Linked DNA regions of Diceros bicornis minor. The protein of the gene in region 2 interacts with the protein of the main gene of each other region in a pairwise test. Links are inferred from orthologs where the notes say so. Each region holds a gene or a part of one and is shown on either strand. Other genes may lie near its edges.

Region 1 (10,917 bases), on a different chromosome or scaffold from region 2:
CATGGAGTCGAGCGACGGAGGCAGAGGCTCTCACCGGCAGGAGCTGGTAGCCCATCAGGCCCAGGTGCCGCTCCCGCAGAGCCCGGGAGCCCAGCAGCACTCTGCCATCCCGGCAGAAATGCCAGCGTTCCCGCAGCATCAGCACCACCCTGGAGAGGGAACAGACGGGGGCTCAGGGATGCTCTCTACGGAGGCCTAGGAGGGTCTCCTACCCTCTTCCCTTACCTTTGGGCAGGGTCGTGGGTAGTGGGCTGAGAGGCAGCCTGGCCCCGTGGACAGGACCTGGGAGGATATGGTAGGAAGGGGTCCTGGGTCCTTACAGGAAGCACAGCACCAGAGCTGCTGACACACAGCAGGAAGTCTGGAGGGGGGGAGACAAAGGGCCACTGGCTTTTAGCTAGGGCTCCATGTTGCTGGCCACCGCCCACGCATCTGGAGCTCACCTGTGCAGTAGCCAGGAGGCACGGTCAGGTCCTGGCGGTATTTCTCCTCCCCCAGCAGCTGGCGCAGCCCCTCAGCAACTATGTCCTTGTGACTGAGGGAGAAGGAGCACCGCTCTCAGGAGTCTCGTGCTAGCTCGGTCCGCCTAGCTCCATGACCCCAGGCAAATGCCTTTGCTGCCTCAAGGCCGTTTTTTTTCTTTGTGACTGCTAAGAGTGCATCAGCGTGGACAGTTCACGGTCCCTCTGGCTTTTCTACTCTGTGCTTCTTGCGGGCCAGCCCCTCCCGTCTTCCCCTCCCCCAAGGTGCCCATCCACCTGTACTTGGAGCGGGCACGGTCAGTGATGAGCGGCTGGGGGAAGATGGGCACTTGCTGCCTTCGGGGAAGGCGGGGACCCTGGTATCCTGGGAGCTCCAGCTCCACGGCCGTGTCCAGCAGGGAGAGGTAGCGCCGCACAATCAGGGCGTGAGGGGTGCCTGCGGGACAGTGGACTGAGGCTTGCTGGGCTGCAGACTCCCGACCCCACTTTCCCTTCCCAGCGGCCCTCCTGGCTGCGCACCACTGACGTGGTTGATGAAACTCGGGGAAAAGACAAAGTGCAGGACTCGGAAGGGTAGGCACCGCAGCTGACACAGGGACATTAAGATGTTGACCGTGGCCAGGGGGGCCACCCCGGCTTCCCGAGCCAGGATCCTCTCAAGGCAGGGCATAAACTGCTGCTCCAGGGGCAAGTAGTTCAGCCGCCCAAAGGGCAGGACCAACTTCTGTACCACCTGTGGAGAAAGAGCAGCCTGTCACCCAGCACAGCACAGAACGGTTCTCCAACATCCTTTACAAGCTGAACCCCGGGGAGGCGTGGCCTGCAAGCTTATAACATCGAACAATCCTACTACCCGTGACATACACACTGGAAGTTCAACAGCATGAGCAGTCTTGAGCCCCACGTGATTCATCCACACAAGCAGAGGAGACATCGCTGTGGGTCTGGCCCTGAAGGCTCAGGAGTGGGATCAATGAAGCTGGGACAGCGCTAAGAGTGCCCGGAGAACTGCAGAGAACCAGGCATAAGTGCTGGGGAGCTGGACAAGCCGAGGGTGTGAGTAAGATGGAGTCCCGGGGGAACGAGCAGAGAGCCTCCCTGGGTTGTCTGCTGCAGGAAGCAGCCAATCAAGCTGGACAGGCAGCTGAGCCTGACAGGGTGACTGAGGATGACTAGGAGAGGAGCGTGGGAGGTTGGGAGGTAATCCCACCTTGCTGCTGAGCTGGGCTTCCTGGACCACCAGGAAGTGGGCAATGGCTTCCAGAAGCTGGGGCTCCCGCAACCGGTGCCGGGCCAGGTGCTGGGCCAGTAGCACCATCACGTGCGGGGTCAGTTCCTCTGGCCCGGCCTCTGCGAAGAACAGCCCATGACGCTGGACCCTCAGGCCAGACCTCCAGACTAGATTCCACCTTAGCCCAGACACCATCACCTGTCTCCTCCTCTGCCCCTCCCCACCTGCCATTAGCTCCCCCAGCACCTGCCAGGCTGCGGATGAGGTGCTGCCGTGGATACCGCAGGAAACGGGGGCAGCTCAGAGCAGCTTCCAACCTTTGCCCACCACGAAGGACAGGTTGCAGAGGGGGAGGCGGCTTCGGAGGGAGGCGGAACCTTCGCTCCCGCTCCAGGGCACACACCAGGGGCCCATCTGACGGGAAGCCTGAGAGGGAGAGGGTAAGAGAAGGCAGTCCTGCTAAGGACTGCCCTGCTCCGCTCCAGTCATGGGGATTAGTTAGTGAATTCCCAACCTTCCTCGTCTCCACATTCTGGGCTGGAAGGTTTGCTCTAGCATAAATGGAAACACTGGAGAAATGTGAAATGTTGCGTGAACAGGAGGTATCACAACAGCCTGTGGGGAAGGCCTTATACAAAGAGGACAAATAAGTTCTCATCTCCTGCCAATGGTGACATTGTCATGGCTTCCTAGAGCACTAGATTACAAGGGATCTGGAGTGGCGCCCTAGGGAGGCTGGACAAATGCTGCTTGACCCCCCGTGTCTGCTGTGGATGCCGGGGAGCAGCAGCCAGTGTGCGGGGCCCGTGCCATTCCTGGCAAAACCGGAGAGGTGCATTCTGACAGGGATCTCAGGGCCTCTGCTGCTCTCTCTATTCTTCCACTAACACCCAACCCCCAGACCCCTCCTCACCAAGTAAGACTGCAAGGTGCAGACACACGTGGATGGTGTGAATGTCAAAGGAGGGGCAGTTTCGGATGATGAGCTGACTCAAGTCCTGCAGGGTGGCCTGCTCCACGGGAGGGGGCCGTGGCCGAGACCCCAAGAGCTGGCCCAGACGACGGAGTGCCACAGGGTAGTGGTGGGCACGCACTTTGGTAGGGTTCTGGCCCAGCCAGCGCAGCAGCTCCCCTGGACTTCTCGCCTGTTCCAGAAGCCGCTGCAGCCCCTGCACAGGGCCTGCATGGGGGCCTCCTCCAGCAGGCCGGTCCCCCCACTTGCTGGGCCCCAGATAGCAGGGCTGTACTGGTGGGAGCAGCAGCAGGCCAGACAGCCGAGCAGCAGAGGCCTGGGCAGAGAGCAGGACTCGAAGCATGGAGTTGGGTGATGGAGACCCTGAGGGGTGGCCCAGAAAAGGGGGTGAGGTTTTCTCCAAAGGGGAGAAAGACCTGCTATCTGCTCCTCACCTCACTTCCCGTTCAGAAGGCCTGGGGTCGGAGCAACCTAGACTCGTGTTCACCCTTCCTTGTGACCGCTCTGGTCCTCTTCCCCACCCCGCCCCTCTGCCTCCTTCCACTCATTTGAAGCAGCAATCACAGTCCTTCAGCGTGCTCAGCGCAGTGACATTTACAAAGCAGTTCCACATGCATTATCTCCTCTGATCTTCCCTACACGCCTGAGGAGACAGGCAGGGCTGGCATTACCTCGATTTCCCAGGTGGAGAAACCAAGGCCCAGAGAAGCGAAGGGGTTAAGTTAAGCCCGAAGTCACGAATCGGGTTAGTGGTGGCGCCAAGCCTGGAGCCCAGCTCGCCCGGTGCGTACGCCCTCCCGACCACCTCCCCCTCCCGCAGGAGGCGGCGGCGGCGGCGGCGCGGAGGGTGGAACACGGGCTCCGCAGCCGGACGGTCCTGGGTTCCAAGCTGGGCGCTCCCACTTACCAGCTGCGTGACCTTGGACAAGTGGCTTCGTCTCTCCGCCCAAGCCTCCTCGCCCGTGAAACGAGCACGCGGCGCCCACCTCGCAGAGCGCCCGTGGGGCTGAGAGAGCGGCTTTGCGGCGGCGCGGAGTCGGCGGTGTCAGGGGCCCCCACACCCACCCGGCCCGGGGGCGCCAGGAGACGGTCGTCACTGTCGCCAACACCAACTCCCGCCGCCCTCCCGCGTCCGCCCCGCAGGCGCCGCCCCTACATGACTCCCCAGGCCCCGCGCAGGTCGCTCCCTCAGTCGGTCTCGGGGCCCGGGAGCCGGGCTCCCCCCGCGGCCTCCTCATCGGCGGGCCACCGAGTCCGCCATCTTCCCAGCAGCCCCGGATCGCCGCCCGGACACCAATCCCGGCTCAGTCGTCCGCCAGCAAAGACGTGGCTCCCGTCAGACCCCGCGCGCCGGGGCGCCGCGAGGCCCCTCCCCCCGTTTCCGGGAAGCTGCGCGCGCGTCACCGGGGCGGAGCCAGAGAGCTGGGAGCTGAAGCTGGGGCGCAGAGGAGAGGGGAAGCCAGCGGCCGGTATGGGCAGGCTGTGCAGGAGCGAGAGCCCCGTACAGCCCTTCACTCCTTTTCTCCCAGTGGGCGAGGGCTCCCCGCCCCCTGCCCCCACGGCCCACAAACCCAGATACACACCGAGAGTGAAAACTTCACAGTTATTTAATCTGCGCATGTCCCGGAGAACCCCCTCCGCTCCTCCCAGCTACCCTTCACCAGCCGCCCACAGTCTTTGGGTCCCCAGATCAGCCCAAGAAGCTATGTGTTGGGTCCTCAGAACACTAGGACGGGCCCAGGGGCGTGGCCCGGCTCTGCCCCGGGCCAAGGCAGCGACAGCAGCTGCCTGACACCGAGGAGCCGACTGTCAGTGGGGCCTGAGGGCCAGCAGCCCCGGGAGGTGGCCCAGAGCCATGGAGGTCACAGGGAGGGGCCTCTGCCGGCCCCCGGAGTGCCCTGCGGCGCACGGCTGGGCTCCAGGGTAGTGGGAAGAGGCAGGCCGGAGAGGCAGGCCTGGGCAGACAGCAGCTCCCACCGTGTCGTGGGGAGCAAGGTCCAGAGCGGCCAGCAACACTGCCGAGAGCCCGTGGAGGCACTACGGACGGTACATGGCAAAGGCCAGGAGACTGAGGAGCAGGGTGAAGCCGGCCAGACCCAGAGTGGCGGTCAGAGGAAAGAAGGGCCGGTACTGGATCTGGCAGTACCAGAGCAGCAGCAGCAGCAGCAGCAGCAGGGGCAGCAGGAGGCTGCCTATTTCCAGCCCTGAGGGGCCTGGTTCTGACCCCGGTGGGCAGGGGGTGTGTGGGGGACCGACCCGCGTGGACACGTGGCAGTGGAGAACGCAGTTGGGAGGGAGGTGAAGGCTGCCCAGGGTCTGGGTATCGTCTCCTAGCAGCTGCCCTTGGTAGATGAGCCGCACCTGCTGTTCCCGGCCGGGAAACTGGGTCCTGAGGAAAGAGGGACCTGGGTAATAGAGCAGGCCTCAGGCAATCCTAGTCCCTTGCCCAGAACAACACTCCCACCCCTCATCTCTGCCCTCCTCCCACCACCCAGGTCATGGCCTTCAAGGGGGTCCCCTCCTGCTACAGGGCAACAACACAGTCTGCAATTTGGGAACTTCAGTTCCCTCATCTATAAAATGAGGGAGCAGTCTCAGATAGCTCTGGTGGCCCTTCCAGGTGTGTGATCACTCCCACCCCACTCTAGCATTTCGTTCCTGTCCTCATCCCAGCTTACCTTTTCAGGGAACCGATGGTGTCGTGGGGCCAGGCCCTGGCCACCTGCTCTGAATCGTTGAGGAATTTCAGGCGTAGTACTAGGGGCTCCTGAGGGGAGTCCGGGGGTGGCGGCGTTGCTGGGAGCGGCGTCCCAGGTTGTGGCTGTGCAGCCTGACCTCTGTGTCTCAAGCTGGGGGTCTCTGCTCCTGGGGCCTCCCCTCTGATGCTGTCAGTGACTGCCATAGCTTCGCTGGGCTGTGCTGGTGTTGGGATCCCTGACGGCTGGGGCAGCGAGTCGGTGCCCTCGGCGGTGTGTGTTGAGACCCAGGCGAGAGCCAGCACCAGAACGCAGGCAAGCACCGCGAAAAGGATGGTCACCTCATCACCTACCCCTTCAATCAGGGCCATGGCACCCGCCTTGCCCACCACGCTACCGAGCTGGAGAGGCACAAAGAAGCCATGAGGAGCTGGCTCACTGGCCAAGAGCTGTCTCAACTTCAGCAGGCTCCTGAGCCATCCCACCACAACTCTCCTGCAGCCCTCATTCCTCCGCCCCCTTACCAAGTGCCACCCCGGGGGCACAGACTGCTCTGACTCCCAGTCACCCCAAACTTGCCTCGTGTGCCCTCTCCCATCACCAAATGCCAAGTCCTAACTTTTTGTAATCTGAGTTCTTGGTCTCTAACCAGTTCCCCAATTCACCCAAACCCTATCCGAGGTAAGGGCCTTGACCTTTTAAGTAACCTCTCCCCTAAATTCAACCTCCACCAAACTTCACCCAAAGCTTACCTATTCTTCCGTCCACTTCATCCCAAAGTTTATCTACCCCAAAGGTTATCTACTCCGTCGCTAAAGTTTCTCCAAGGGGGAAGAAAAAGGGCCTCTATGCCCCCCACCCCCACCCCGTTACCATGTACCCAAATCCCACCCGCGGCACGGGACTGCTTCCCACGGCTTCCCCACACCAAACGTCAAACTCCGCCTTTTGGCAATCCGGAGCCTCCAAGGGTTGCTACCCCTCACCCAACTGGGTCCCTCCTGGTCCACTCAAGCCCCAGCCCGCGGCAGACCGACTCTGCGCCTCCTCTGGAAGCCTCTGCAAACCCAAGCCTCTGCAGACCCCAGATCACGCCCGGGAATCCAAGACTTCGCCCTCCCCACCCCCAACTCCTCCATCACTCCTCCCATCTTCCCGCCCCCCGGAGCCGCGGGAGGACACGGGCGAGCCCCGGGCGGGGCGAGCGGGGGCCAGGGGCGGCGGGGTGGGCGCGGTCACGGCGCGGGTACTCACCGCCCGGCTGCGCCAGCTCCATAGCAGACCCTCGGGCACTTCCGGGCGGGAGGCGCCGAGGTCGCAGACACCTGAAGACACCCCTCCTTCCCCGCCCCCGACGCCTCCGCCTGGCGCATTGTGGGACTTGTAGTGTAGCTCCGTGAGCAGTCCCCGCCCTCAGCCATGCAGACCCACGTGCGGGGCTCGGCGGGCTGGTTCCCGCAAGTAGCTGGGAGGCCGGCGGGGGCGGGTTCAGGGGTTGTGCTAGCGCGCAGAGGTTTGGGCGGCAGCAGGATCCGCCCCCTCCCCCGCCCGCAGCCAGAGCATCTGTCACTCCAGAAACGGACGTCAGCCAGTGCACGTCAGCGCACCCGTGTTTCGAGATGCAGACTCTTGGGGGCTCAGATAGGCTCTACCCCGGCCTACCCTTATGTAAGAGTGGACGCCAGCAGGCACCTTGGGCCCGCTAAATGGATTCTTCAGCCCAGAACCCAGTACCCACGGGCTGCCCCACCAGGATGCCTGAGGATACCAGTCCCCGGGGCTGGCCAGGGTGGCTTGGGCTGTCCTGTTGCCCTGGTCCCCTCCTCCACCTCGCCCCTGCAAGACTGTGAAAGAAGCATGGACTTTGGAACCTGGCACAAACGCTGATCCCTTGTCCCGTGCTTATCAACTATATGACCTTGGATGCGTTATTGAATTTCTTTGACCCCTAAACTTCTTCATTTCTAAAACATACCTCATAAGGCAATTGTAAGGAAGAAATTAGGTGGCTTACTAAATGTGTGAAAACTATGTCAGGTGGGGCTGGCCCGGTGGTGTAGTGGTTAAGTTCATACCCTCTGCTTCTATGGCCCAGGGTTGGCAGGTTCGGACCGGGGCACGGACTTATGCAGGGCTCATCAAGCTATGCTGTGGCAGCATCCCATATACAAAATAGAGGAAGGTGGGCACAGATGTTACCTTAGGGCTAATCTTACTCAGCAAAAAGGGGAAGATTGGCAACGGATGTTAGCTCAGGGCCGATCTTCCTCACAAAAAGAAAAAACAAAAACTATGTAAGGAATCTGCCATTCAGTAGATATTTGCTCACCTAGTTTTAGAACACTCCCTCCACCCAAACCTGGCCCTAGAAATTGGGTCGTTAGCCTGTTACTGTGTAGAGGATGTTGAGTCTCAGCCTGGCCTGGGCCAGCTAATTTCTGTGGATTTTCCCTCCTTCCTCTGGGCTCCTATAGGCACAGAGATCTCACATCCCGGATTTTATAGGCCAGTCTTGATTAAAAGTTGTGTACCCTAGTGTTCCCATAGCACATGCCTACTTGTGGGAGTAAGTACTCCAAGTGTTGCCTTGGGAAAGTCAATTTAGATTTATAACGTACAGAACTAACTTATCTCGGGCTGGCCTGGTGACATAGTGGTTAAGTTTGGGCGCTCTGCTTCAGCGGTCTGGGGTTTGCTGGTTCAGATCCCAGGCACAGACCTACACACTGCTCATCAAGCCATTCTGTGGCGGCGTCCCATATACAAAATAGAGGAAGATGGGCACGGATGTTAGCTCAGGGCTAATCTTCCTTAGCAAGAAAAGAGGAAGATTGGCAGTAGATGTTAGCTCGGGGTCAATCTTCCTCACCAAAAAAAAAAAGAAAAAGAACTAAGTTATCTCTAGTTCCTTCCCTTCCATTCATTCATTTATTCCACAAACATTTATTAAATGTGTATTATATGTCGGGCACTGTGCAAGATGCTGGGAATACAATGGTGAATCAGGCCCTGTCCCTGCCTTTATATGGCTCATGTATTAATAGAGGAGACAGGCAGGTAGACAGCCCACCAGCGCTAAAACAGGTGTGCTGGCTGCTGGGGCAACACATTTGAGGAACTCTTTACCTTCAGCATCTCTCCCGGGGGGGGGGGGGGGGGGGTACCTGGTGCAACTTCCTGTTGTCAATTCTATTTTTTTTTTTTTTGAGGAAGATCAGCCCTGAGCTAACTTCCATTGCCAATCTTCCTCCTTTTTTTCCCTTTTTCTCCCCAAAGCCCCAGTAGATAGTTGTACGTCATAGTTACACATCCTTCTAGTTGCTGTATGTGGGACACCGCCTCAGCATGGCCTGACAAGCTGCGCGTCGGTGCGCGCCCAGGATTTGAACCCGGCCGCCAGTAGCGGAGCACATGCACTTAACCACTAAGCCAAGGGGCCGGCCCCATCAATTCTAATTAAGCATCTAAAAGAGATGTTAGATACCGCTTTTAGAATTACAGATCAGAGCTAGGTGTTGTGTTCAACCACTTGTTTTGTAGATGAAGCCCAGTGAGGGTACAAGACATCCTTAAGATCAAACAGGTAAATAGAACCCATATCTCTCAGGAGCTGGGGAGGCCCCTGGTGTTGATTAGCTTGCATCTAGTTCTTTGGAAGGTACAAGAAACTCAGGAATGGTGACCAGGTTGGTACTGGGGCAAAGTTGTGTGGGTTGCTGAATGAGGGGCAACTTTATGCTGGGGAAAGGTCCAGCTTGGCCTGGGAAGTGGAAGTATGTGTAAAAAGGATATGTGTTAACTGTGCCAGAGAACATTGGGGTGCAGCCACGGCAGGCTGATTGGCTGGGTCAGTGCCCTGCTCATTCCACCTCTGGTGGGTTTTAGGAAAGGTTGGGGAGGGGTGGCTAGCAGAACTGCAGACAGCTTTAGCAATGGGATACAGAGGAACTGGGACATTGAAGGGAGCTCCCTGGCTCCAGAAGGAGTGGACAGGAACATAGAATGCACAAGGGGGTGAGGACAATTAAGAGAGCCTCTGGTAAGTGTCTTGAATGGGGTGAGTGGGGGAAGAAGGCATAATATTTGATTCCTCTCTTTTTTTCCTCTATGTACCAGTGGGTTCCATCAGCGGTCACGGAACCCTCCTCAGTCCAGCAGGAAGGTCTTTTAGGAGAGAGCAGAAATTAAGAGTGGGGATGTTGTTGTTCAAAGTGTCATTTCCAAGGACATCACTGATGACTTTCTCAGGGAGAACTGGAAATAGAAGCCAAGAGCCCAGATTTCCAGCCTGTGCTGCAGCCAGCAGTGGAGAGTCCAGGGGAGGGCTAGAGGGAGAGCCCCAGGGGACGGGGTAGTCTCTAGGGTTGACCTCGGGGCCGGGGACAGGGGAGCTTGTGCTGCACTGAAGGCAGGACGACGTAAGTGAGGCGCAGCCGGTCCTGGGCTGGCGGCCCTCCTTGGCCAATTAGCCGCGTTGATCAGCACCCTCAGGCGTAGGGCACTGTTCGGGCACTGCCGAGAGATCGGACACCCCACTCAGACCAGCACAGGGAGGCGAAAGCGACAGCCGGGGCCAGGAGGAGGCCAGGGCAGCCGTCCCCTGAGAGCGAGTGGCCCTCACGGCGGGTGTGGGTTGGGGCTGGAGAAGAGGCGGAAGGGCCAAGGCTAGGTGGGAGGGGCCGGGGCACCAGGGCTGGAGCGCGCGGCTCGGGGGTGGAGGCTGCAGAACCAGGGAGCGAGCGAGGGGCGGGGGCGCTGGGGCTGGCGCGCAGGAGGGGCGGGGGCGGCGGGGAGGGGGGCCTGAGCTGCGTGTGCTGGAGCCGGCGGGGGCGGCGGTGCGTGCGCATGACGCGGGGGGAGGGCCTGGGCCGCGCGCTCCCGGTCCCGTTGTTGTTGCCGCTGGAGGCTGGTCCGAGGCAGCGGGGATTGCCGCGCCGGGAAGCGCCCGGCAGCGGCGGCCACAGCGTGCGCGGCGTCGCCTCCCGGCCTCGGCCCCCGGCCCCCGGCCCCATGCGCTAACCCCGCGCCGCCGGCTCCGTAGTCCCGGCCCCGCCAGCCCCGCGCGCCCGCCCGCCGCCGCCGCCGCAGCGCCGCCTCGGGCCCCAGCCGGGCCCGCCTCGGGCCCCGCGGCTCCGGAGCCATGAACTTCCAGGCGGGCGGGGGGCAGAGCCCGCAGCAGCAGCCGAGCCTGGCGGCGCCTGGGGGCGGCGGCGGCGGTGGCGGCGGCGCGGGGGGCGGTGGGCAGTTCGGCGGCGCGGGGCCGGGGGCCGGGGGTGGCGGCGGCCCCTCGCAGCAGCTGGCCGGCGGGCCCCCCCAGCAGTTCGCGCTCTCCAACTCCGCGGCCATCCGGGCCGAGATCCAGCGTTTCGAGTCCGTGCATCCCAATATCTACGCCATCTACGACCTGATCGAGCGCATCGAGGACTTGGCGCTGCAGAACCAGATCCGGGAGCACGTCATCTCCATCGAGGGTGAGCGGAGCCGGGGGCTGCGGGAGCTGGGGCGCGGTGGCCTCTCCGGCGACAGCCGGAGGCT
Region 2 (10,092 bases):
CTGAGTAGAAGCTACCTCACAGGGTTGTGTGACTATTAAAGGATTCAATGAAATGACACATAGTAAGTAGTCACATTAAAGGAAGAAAGGAAGGGAAAGAGGGAGAGAGAGTGGAAGGAAGGAAGGAAGACAGGAAGAAAGGAAGGAGAGATTTTTAAAAGCTTGGGTCAGATCATAGAAAGCTTTGAAGAATTTGATTCACTTAATATAACTAAGAGATAAAAGGAAATTAAAAAGAAGAAATTGAGTTATACTGGAAAGATGGCTCATTAGAAGAGAAAAAATATATCCATGGTAAGCAACGCTACAATGTATGCTTGTATAACATCACAGCAACATGTTTTTACAATATGAACCATGTTCACTGAGGCTTCTAAACTAATGAAAATTGTAGGTAATTTTGTCACCTGTTTATTTTAGCTATGTTCTTTTATTAAGTATTGGCTAAGTCAATTATTATTGACTTCTCACAAGTATTTATGACTAATCTGAAGACTGTAATAATGATCATGCTCCCCAGGAATCAAAGTTTCCTGACCCCTGACCACAAGAGAACACAAAAGCAATGGCAACCCTACCCTGTGGGCTTAGGTGCTACAGCTCGGCCTGGGGCAGTCTAATCCACTGGTCACCCCTACATCTGTATGACTGCCACAACATGTTACCCTGGCATCTCGTGGTGCCAAAGGGCCAGGAAGGTAGCCCATCTTCACTTTCCTGACCTTTATCTGCCCTGAAAACCTCAGCAGAGTAGGCTTGACTGGCTAAGCAGATACCACAGGCTGGTAGTCCCCCAATACTGAGATTCTTCTGTGAGATTCCTCCTTTTCAGTTGTTAACAGAATATGTACCAGGTGAATAATACCAGGTGACTGGTGTGAAACACACAATAAACTACAGACAGCTTAGGGATTATTATATGTTAATTTATATAAAAAGCAGTTCCTGTGTTTAGGCTTTTTTTGTATTTTCATACGGAAAGAGGAACAGCAATAGTACAAACGAACACTGATAACGATAATAGCCCAAAAATACCAAGCAGCAGCACCGTCCCGGATAATCTGCTAAGTGGTCCACGTCCATGACCGCATCCGCCCCTCATAACAACTCTGTAGAAAGAAGTGGTTACTCTCATTTTAAAGGTGAAGATATGGAAGTCGCAGAACTTGTCCAAGACAGAGCTGGGTGTAGAAGTAAGATCTGTCGGACTTACCGGCCGAGGCTTTAACCGGCACAGGATTTGCACGTGGTAGCACGTCAGCATCACCTGGGGGCTTTCAAAAAGTAGATTCCTGGGCCTCACCCCAGAATCAAGCCTTTATAAACTTCTAGTCACACCCCCGGCTAAGGACCAGCGCACTTCAATACTAGTTAAAGCACGTTAAGCAGAATAGCATTACTAAGCTAACTGAAGGTTTTCTGGGGGCTTTGGTGAGCCTAGAGTTTTTATTACTCCAAAGTATACAAAAGGCAGTTAGTTATTTTGACCTGACTGTAATCCCTACGTGGTGAGGAACAATTAGCAAATGTTGGGCTGGGCAATACAACGAGGCCGAGGGAGGAAGCATTCATTTGTGGCAGGGAGGCGGAACCTGAACTGTTCCTCAGTTGGAGCTGTGAGGGTGGAAAGCAATGTGAATGTGTTTATTAATCTTCCTGTGCCTGACACACAGTAGACACTTAACAAATATTTGTCAAATGGACAAACTAATCAAGGACTGACTCCCTCCAGCTGGAAGTAATTTCACTCCCCTCTAAATTCCCTTTATTTGATCTGTACCTTTTTTACCTTATTTACCACATTCTGCCTTGCATTCTTGCTCTTTGAAACCATGTCTCATCTCTACCAGAAGGTAAGCGTTCAGGGGCAAACTGCATCTCCTTCTGAGCTAGGTCTCCCCTTCTACTCCTAGCACAGGGCACAGCATCGACTCCATCAGGGAACTTCAATGTCAAATGAGTATCTGGCTTGATTCCAACTGTGACCTGACTCACATATGTGGGTCCTAGCCATTCACAGGTGTAAGCCCACCAAACCTTCCAGCACCATGGCAGAACCGTGGATTGCTAGGACATAGAGGCAGAGCATCCTCTGTATGGAAATCACTAGCAACTTGAGAGACCTCATTGGAGGGCAGGCTTCAGGAAGACCACGGCTCTGAGATACAGAATCCCAAATAGCAGATACTTAAAAATGAAGGGGGTACAGCAACAAATAAAAGGCACTTTTGTTTAGTTTTGTTCTCCTGGTGGGCACTGTAGAAACCATGTATGTTCCTAAAATGACAACCATAGTTAGGAGCACCCTGAAATACCAAAGACAGTGACACAGACCCAATGACGAACACTTCCCACAAAAGGGGGCTCATTCCTGGCCAGAGCACCAAGACACTGTAGCTCTTATCGCTCTTGTGTCTTTGTGCGACCACTGCCTGGTGTCTGGGTGTCCCTCTAATGCCTTGTGCCATCACGTGAGGCTTTTTGCTGTTTCACACTCCATTATCCCACTTGACAGGCCAAAGGGCACCAGTAAGTGGCTGAACAGACAGTAGACACTTAATTGGTCAAATGAATACACAAATGAAAAAAGGCCTGAATCTCTCCAGCTGGAAGTAATCCCATTGTCTCTAAATGTCCCAGAATTTGATCTTACCTTGCTTACAAATCCATTTGCTTTACATCACACAAACCTAAAAGAGTTTATGTGCTTCTCAGGAAGCCAAAGTTATGGCAGAAGTTGGGTAGGTCCCAAGGAAGAAGATGATGTTATTAAAATGCTTTAGTAACACCTGCAGAGTTTAATTTGCACACTTCCATTCAACAGGTAATAGAGTCCTACAGGTGGCTGGGGATTTGGTCCCTGAGAAACTCAACCTTGTGGGGACGATAGGCAGGTAAAGACAGCAAGAGCAGAAGGTAGTATTTTGAGCACTGTAAAGAGTGACTGAGATGCAAAATGCTGATGGCCTATTTGGGGTTCTCTCATCTCAAGAAGTCCAAAGGCGATTTACAAACTGAAATAGAAAATATCCTGGAGTTATTTTATCCGCAATAGAAAAAGGCATTTTTGAGGAGGAAAAACATGCCAACGACTCAGAATGAAGCTACAGTATTGTTCTGAATTGCCTTGAGAAACTGGCAAAAGAAAACCCACCCAGGGCGGGCCTGTGTCCAGGGGCTCCGCTGCTGCACCGCCTGCAGTCTGGGGTTACACGCGGCCAGGGATTGGAGGTGCGGTCCGGGGACTATCCAGGGGACAACAGTGACACGCAATTTTCAGAAAAAGGGACCAAGTCCACCCAGCCACTACTGACAACTCGAGAGTCTTCCTGGAGAACTAAGATAAGGCCAGCAGCCCCTGGCCCAGGAAGGGATATTCCTCCGAGATTAAGCAGGACCAGAGATTTAGCCAGGCCCGGTTCTTCACACAGACACACCCTTTGTTAATCTCAGAGAGGTCAAAGTCTAAGCACCAGTTGAAGATTTGGGTCGCCCCGACTGGGTCAGCTGGTTTCTCTAACATTTGCAACTTTTTTTAACTGTACTTTTTTAAAAAGGAAGAATATGTTAATTGAAAAAGGTTGGGGGAGTGAGACGAAGTGAAGCTGTCCGGAAAGTTCGGGAGAGGCCCGGGAGAGACGCTGACGGGGACTGAAAGTGCCTCTAAGGTCAACGCAAACCTAAGGCGCGCGTCTACACCCAACCCAGAGCGAGCACCCGGCCGGAGGCTAGTTTGGGAGCCGAGCTGCGGGATGGGCACGATGCCCTCAGCGAAGAAGGCGAGGCGGTTCCAGCGCACGAACTGGCCCGGGGATGCCCGAGAGTCCATCCGCCCGAGCTGGGGGTGTAGCTGCGCCCCCAGAGCATCCCCGCGAAGCCCGGGCCGCGGGGAACTGCGGCGGGAGCGGGTCCCGAGCCCCTCGGGCGGCCCCGGGGCCGGCGGAGCCCAGGAAGGCGCCCAGCCCGGGGGGCGCCCGCGTCCGGAGCCCCACCGCCCGCGGCCCCCTCCTCCCTGAGCAACCGCCGGACCCGCAGGACGCGCGGGCCGCGGCGCCCCGAGCTGCGCCCCTCCCGAGGCCGCGCGCCCCGACGTCCCGGGCCGCCCCGCCCGCCTCACCCGCCCCGCGCCCACCCGGTGCCAAGGGCGCTTCTGAGCCCCGGCGTCGAGCCCGGCCCCTCCCTGGCGTCCCGGGCGGCCGCGGGGCTCCTCATGGGCGCTGCCCTGAGACCCCGGAACCGGGTGGCGCCCGAGGCGGCGGCGGCAGCGCGTCCCTTACCGCGCAGCGGCTCCGGGCGGCTCCAGGGCCCCGCGGCGCGCAGGGCATTTTTGGGGAAACTTCTCCCTGGTCCGTAGGGCTGAGCCGGCCGGGCAGGAAAAGCGCTCAGCGCCGGGAGGCTGCGACCATCCGGGAACTTCGCTGAGATGTAAACCCTCCCCCTCGGCTCCCCGTCCCCCCCCTGCGGCCCCGCCACATGTGGACGCGCCGCGAGGCCGCCGCCGGCCCGCCGCCGTCTCCTCCGGGCGCCGCGCCCGCCCTGCCTGTCCTGAGCCTCTGCGCCCCACAGCCCCGGGTCCCCCCGAGGAGGCGGCGGGAGTGCGGTGGGCAGGAGGCTGGGGCTCGTGTGTTCCTCCGTCCCCTTCCCCAGCACAGTGAGGGGACGCGGCCGTGGGGTCCAGGACAAGCTTTGCAGAGGAGCGGGAACTGGAAGGGGGTCCAACCAAGGGCCCTTTCCCCCAAAGACTGCGTCCTCTCCAGCTTCCCGCCGCTGGGGCTCCCCTCCCGCACCCCCAGGGAAAGCTTTTTCCCTATCACCTTCACCTCTGTTCTCAAAAGAGAAGATCCGGCTTTGAGACACCTCGAATTCAAATTCATTTTAAAAATGAATTTTAAAATGGAGTGAAACCCACAGATCCCCAAGGTCCACACGCATCTGTCTCCCCGCCCCCTGTGTGGGGACAACAGTGCTGCTCTCCCCGTGGAAAGCTGCCAGTTCTCCCCACCAATGGGTTGGATTCTTTCAGTAGTTTTGCTGCTGGCGGGGATGGCTCTACCATCAGCCACCCACATCCTCAAATACGGTAGGATCACAGCAAACGTTTGGAGAAAGCTGAGGCTCTCCTCCATTGCGAGAGCTGTTACCACGCCCTGGTCAGCTCTGAAAGCCGCCACCTCCAGGCCCCAAAGAAAAGTTAACACTAAGACGACACAGATATTAGAATGTGTGCGTTTGAAAAGAACAACAACTTTTGATCAATATAATAACCATTTAATCGTATTGTTAAAAGACCAAGGCTGTGTATCCCTTCGAATAAAAACAGAAAAAGTGGGACTATATGCGCTTCAGAACTGATGTCCTAGGCTGAGGAGGTTGTTCATCCTTAACTTTAGGCTGTCTCTGTTCCTACGCTATTCCCAGGTGCACACTTGTACCTTGACATGCTCTTAACAGACACAATAACCCTTCTGGGAAAGAGATTTGGTAACATGGGTAAACTCTTCCCATTGACAAACTTTTGTCCCGAAACATACCCATCTGTTTAAGATTCATTATATATTTGCTTTTCTTTTAAACGATTTCTATGGTAATATGCACATGTTATGTTTTGTATAAAATGAAGACAAGTGAGTTCATATATCAGTATGTTATTCTAGACTTGAAAACAAATCAGGGCCAGCCCGTGGCTTAGCGGTTGGGTGCTCGTGCTCCGCTGCTGGCGGCCTAGGTTCGGCTCCCCGGCACGCTCCAACGCACCGCTTCTCCGGCCATACGGAGGCCACGTCCCACACACAGCAACTAGAAGGATGTGCAGCTATGACATACAACTACTGGGGCTTTGGGGAAAAAGAAATAAATAAATAAAAGTATTAAAAAAAAAAAATCAATAGCACTTATCACAGCGTGGCATGGAAGTGAAGCCCAGGAGTTGTCTGATTTTCTTACCTGCTCTCTAAGCCTCAATTTTTGCTTCCATCAAATGGGGATAACAATAGTTTTTATCTGCTAGCTTGTTGTAAGGAGTAAATGTGATAATCCCTCTAAAGGTGAGTAGAGTAGTGGCACACAACTAGAACAGGAATCTCACTTACCTTTGATATCCCCAAGTCCAGCAGAGCTCCTGGCACCTTGTAAGGAATTGATTAAATAGTTGTTGGGATAAGAACTCTCTTGAGTTTATGTCTTTCAAGAATCTATGTAAATTTTAGCATTAGTGTACACAAAAGAAAATCAGCAAGGTAAAATGCATGCCCCCTCCCCTTATTTCATCATTGGAAGCCAGAACTAAGTGGCGTTCGGAATTGTCCGCTGTTTTAAATCACCAGTAAGGCCAGTGATCAGTTGCCCAGAATGCGCCTGGCTCTCTCTTCTCAGATCCAACACTTCTCTCAATAAGGTCAACGTCTGAATAGTATTTTATCACTGGTAATTTTCTTGTTTCCCTAAGTGGGCTATGGTTATGTAAGATGTTAACATTTGAAGAAGCTGCGTGAAGCAAATATGGAAACATTTATTACTATTTTCACAACTGAATTGTAAATTTGAAATAATTTCAAGCTGAAAAAGTTTTTTTAATTAAAAAAAAAGATCAAAGCCTAAAATTCTACAACAGATACCTTCTTCCCTTGGGTGATGCCAAATCATAGCTTAAAATGAAGATACTGAAGTTAGGAGCGGGCAGAGGTATTATGCTAAAACTTTGCAGTCATGTACACTTTTGTATAAATGAGTTAATAAGAAAAAATGGCTTCTTGAGTGCTGCTTGAAGACAAAGCTAGGCTGGAAATGTTATAATGATCTTGGGATAGGGGAAGGGAGGGAGACAGAAGGACATTGAGACTGGGAAAATTAAGACAAATTTACCAGAGCACAATATTATTAAATACATGTTTGCTTATCATTTCCATGGCTACCATTTTGGGACATACCTTGACCTCTAAACTAGCCCTGTAGTGCCTTAGAAGTTCTGCTCTTATAACAATTACTTTGGGGCCGACCCCATGTTGTAGCGGTTAAGTTCCCGTGCTCGGCTTCAGTGGCCTGGGGTTCGCTGGTTCGGATCCTGGGCACGGACCTACTCACCACTCATCAAGCCATGCTGAGGCGGCGTCCCACGTAGAAGAGCTATAACTCTACAACTATGTACTGGAGCTTTGGGGAGAAAAAAAGAAAGAGGAAGATTGGCAATAGATGTTAGTGCAGGGTCAATCTTCCTCAAAAAAAACACAATTATTTGTTTATTGTAATTGCTTGTTTAATGCCTGTCTTTCCCCTGTAGACAGTAACCCCAATTTGGGGGGAGGGGCATGTGAAGGGAACTGCCTGCCTGGTTCACCGCAGTATTCACAGTACCTGGCACATTCTTAGTCCTCATTACCACTTGATGAATGAATGCCAAGCACTAGGCTTTTACATCTAGTATCTCATTTAATTATCACAGCAACTTGGTGAGTTAGATATTTGTCCCCATTTTACAGATGAGGAAACTGACTTGGAGAGCTTGGGTAACCCACCCAAGATCCCTCAGCTTGTGAAGTTCAGAATCCAGATTATTTTGACACTAACATCCTTGCTCTATTATGCATACTGTCTATTAACTTGACTTCCTGTGTTCGTTCCATCTCTGAGCTTCTGCTGGTATGAATGACCTGAATTGACTAGCGTCCAGATTCCTTTGTGCAAAATAGCAAAAGAAGAAAATATTCTATTTATATTTGCAGAGAATTATTGGGGTTCAGGTAGATCTGGTTAAAGGCGCCATAGTAGCTTGAATGATTTTGGTTCTCTCTTCTGAATTAATGCAGGGAGGAAGTGGAATGCTATGTGGGATAAGAACACCATGACAGCCAGGGCATGGTGCAGGGAATCAGGGTCTGCTGGAGGGAAGGAGTCTGGCTGGTGCTTGGCACCCAATGGGTGGTCAGTACATATTTAGTGGATTGACCAGTCTCTAGAACTGAGAAGACCGACCCCTTGAATGCTGAATGTTTTACTTATTTGGGCCACAACTTACTCCAAAACTTAAAACAGTAAGAGTTGGATATGACGAAACTTAAATCTTAGTCTGGGATGGCAAATTTATTATGTATTTTCAATCTTTATCATTTTCGTTCCTTACTAAAAATATGTTCTAATTCTAAACCATTCAAGTGTTCCATAGCATAAATGTAGAAAGCATCCCCCACAATCCCATTCTCCAGAGATAACCACTGTAATGGTAGGATGTATATTCTTCTCCATGTTTTTTTTCTATGTATCCTTATTTTTTTTAAATCAACAAATATTTATGGAAAGCCTGGGGAATGGGATCATACTATACATCTTCTGTAATTTACCTTTCTATTTCTACTAAGTAATCTATTGCATTAGTTTCCTGTTGCTACATAACAAACTACCAAAAATTTAGCAGCTTAAAACAGCATCCATTTATTATTTCACAGTTCTGTAGGTCAGAAGTCTGAATATGGCATGACTGGATTCTCTGTTCAAGGCATCACAGGCTGAAATCAAGGTTTCAGCCAAGCTGAGTTCTCCTCTGGAGGCTTTGGAGAAAAATCCACTTCCAAGCTCATTCAGGTCAGTGGCAGAATTAAGTTCCGTATGATAGTAGGACTAGGGTACCCATTCCCTTGCTCTCAGTCAGCTGGGGGGCTGTTCTCAGCTCCCAGAGGCCACCTGCATTCATGTCATGTCTCCATTCAGCAATGGAGAATCTCTCTCACGCTGAATCTCTCTCACACTTCCATTGTCTTTTACCAGGAAAAACCCAGTCCCTTTTAAGGGCTCAGCTGATTACATGAGCTCCATTGAGGAAATTTCCCTATCTTAAACTCGACTGATTTGGGATCTTAATTACAACTGCAAAATCCCTTTACATCAGCATCTATATTAGTGCTTGCTTGAACAACTGGGAGAAAGTGTGTGTACACCAGGGAGTGGAAATTTTGGGGGCCAGCTTAGAATCCTACCTACCATAGACATCAAGGTTTATCTTTCCATTTCCCTAAATATAAATCTACATCATTCTATTTAATAGGTACATAGTCTTTCATGATGTATTATATATTGTATATTATATGTATGATGTATTATAATTCAACCAAATCCTCTATTAGAGAACATTTATGTTACTTCCAGTTATTAGCCTTTTAAAAATGCACAATAAACATTCATGCTCTCAAATGCTCATGCACCTATGTACTTCTGTAAGTTAGTATCCTAGAAGCAGAATTGCAGGGTGGAAGGGTTTGCCCTTTTTGATAGATACTGCCAAATTGCTCTCCAAAATGTGAGTACCAATTTATACTTCCTATGACAGTATACAAGAATAGAAATAGCTAATTCTCATGAACAGTCAAATTCCCTTCACAGACTGTTTCATGAGGAGGCCATAAGTGTAATCGTTAAGTGCATGGGCTCTCAGTCCAGTTGTCTGGCTACCAGTCTTGGCTCTTTGATTTCCTAATTGCATGGCCTGGGGCAGGTGGCTAAGCCTTAGTTTCTGTATCTCTAAAATGAAGGTGATAACAATGGCACCTCTTTGTATTAGTTATCAGTTGCTGTGTAACAAATTACCCCAAAACTTAGTGACTTAAAACAACACACATTTATCATCTCGTAATTTCTATGGGTTGGGAAGCTGGATGTGGGTTAGCTGGGTGTTTTCGGCTCCAGGTCTCTCACAAGGCTGCAGTCAGGGTGCCAGCCAGGGCTGCAGTCATCCCAAAGTTTGACTGGGGGAGGATTCACTTTTGAGTTCACTCGTGTGGCTGGCTTCGGGTCCTCACTGGCTGTTGGCTGGAGACATCAGTTTGTTGCCATGTGGGTGTCTCCACAGAGCAGCCCACAATGTGGCAACTGTTTTCCCTCAGAGTGAGTGAGCAAGAGGCAGCACCCAAGATGGAAGCCACTGTCTTTTTGTAACCTAATCCTGAAAGTGACATCCCATCGCTCTGCCATATTCTAGTCATTAGAAGCAAGTTGCTAAATGCAGCCCGCACTTAGGATGAGGGTGTTCCACAGGGTGTGAATATCAGCAGGCAGGGTCATTGGAGTCATCTTGGAGGCTGCCTACCACACTCCTCATGAAGGTGT

What was found. The genes of interacting proteins can lie anywhere in the genome.
Region 1: the proteins of WIPF1 (region 2) and FASTK interact in binary tests that used the Homo sapiens proteins (3 or more experiments, as listed by UniProt). The two-hybrid records come from large-scale screens. The link is inferred for Diceros bicornis minor from reciprocal best matches to the Homo sapiens genes WIPF1 and FASTK.

Annotation. Positions count from the first base shown.
Region 1 is NC_080742.1:96,741,231-96,752,147, forward strand, and holds the start of FASTK (fas-activated serine/threonine kinase), read right to left. Parts: upstream 4,009-10,917; 5' UTR 3,925-4,008; coding exon 3,843-3,924; intron 3,837-3,842; exon of another isoform or gene 3,594-3,836; intron 3,330-3,593; exon of another isoform or gene 3,050-3,329; coding exon 2,627-3,049; intron 2,140-2,626; coding exon 1,960-2,139; intron 1,833-1,959; coding exon 1,693-1,832; intron 1,216-1,692; coding exon 1,002-1,215; intron 919-1,001; coding exon 759-918; intron 536-758; coding exon 444-535; intron 362-443; coding exon 226-361; intron 150-225; coding exon 35-149; intron 1-34. Other genes in the region: TMUB1 (transmembrane and ubiquitin-like domain-containing protein 1), read right to left, coding at 4,724-5,075, 5,365-5,753. UniProt on the Homo sapiens protein: Phosphorylates the splicing regulator TIA1, thereby promoting the inclusion of FAS exon 6, which leads to an mRNA encoding a pro-apoptotic form of the receptor.
Region 2 is NC_080749.1:55,573,407-55,583,498, forward strand, and holds the start of WIPF1 (WAS/WASL-interacting protein family member 1), read right to left. Parts: upstream 4,390-10,092; 5' UTR 4,278-4,389; intron 1-4,277. UniProt on the Homo sapiens protein: Plays a role in the reorganization of the actin cytoskeleton. Contributes with NCK1 and GRB2 in the recruitment and activation of WASL.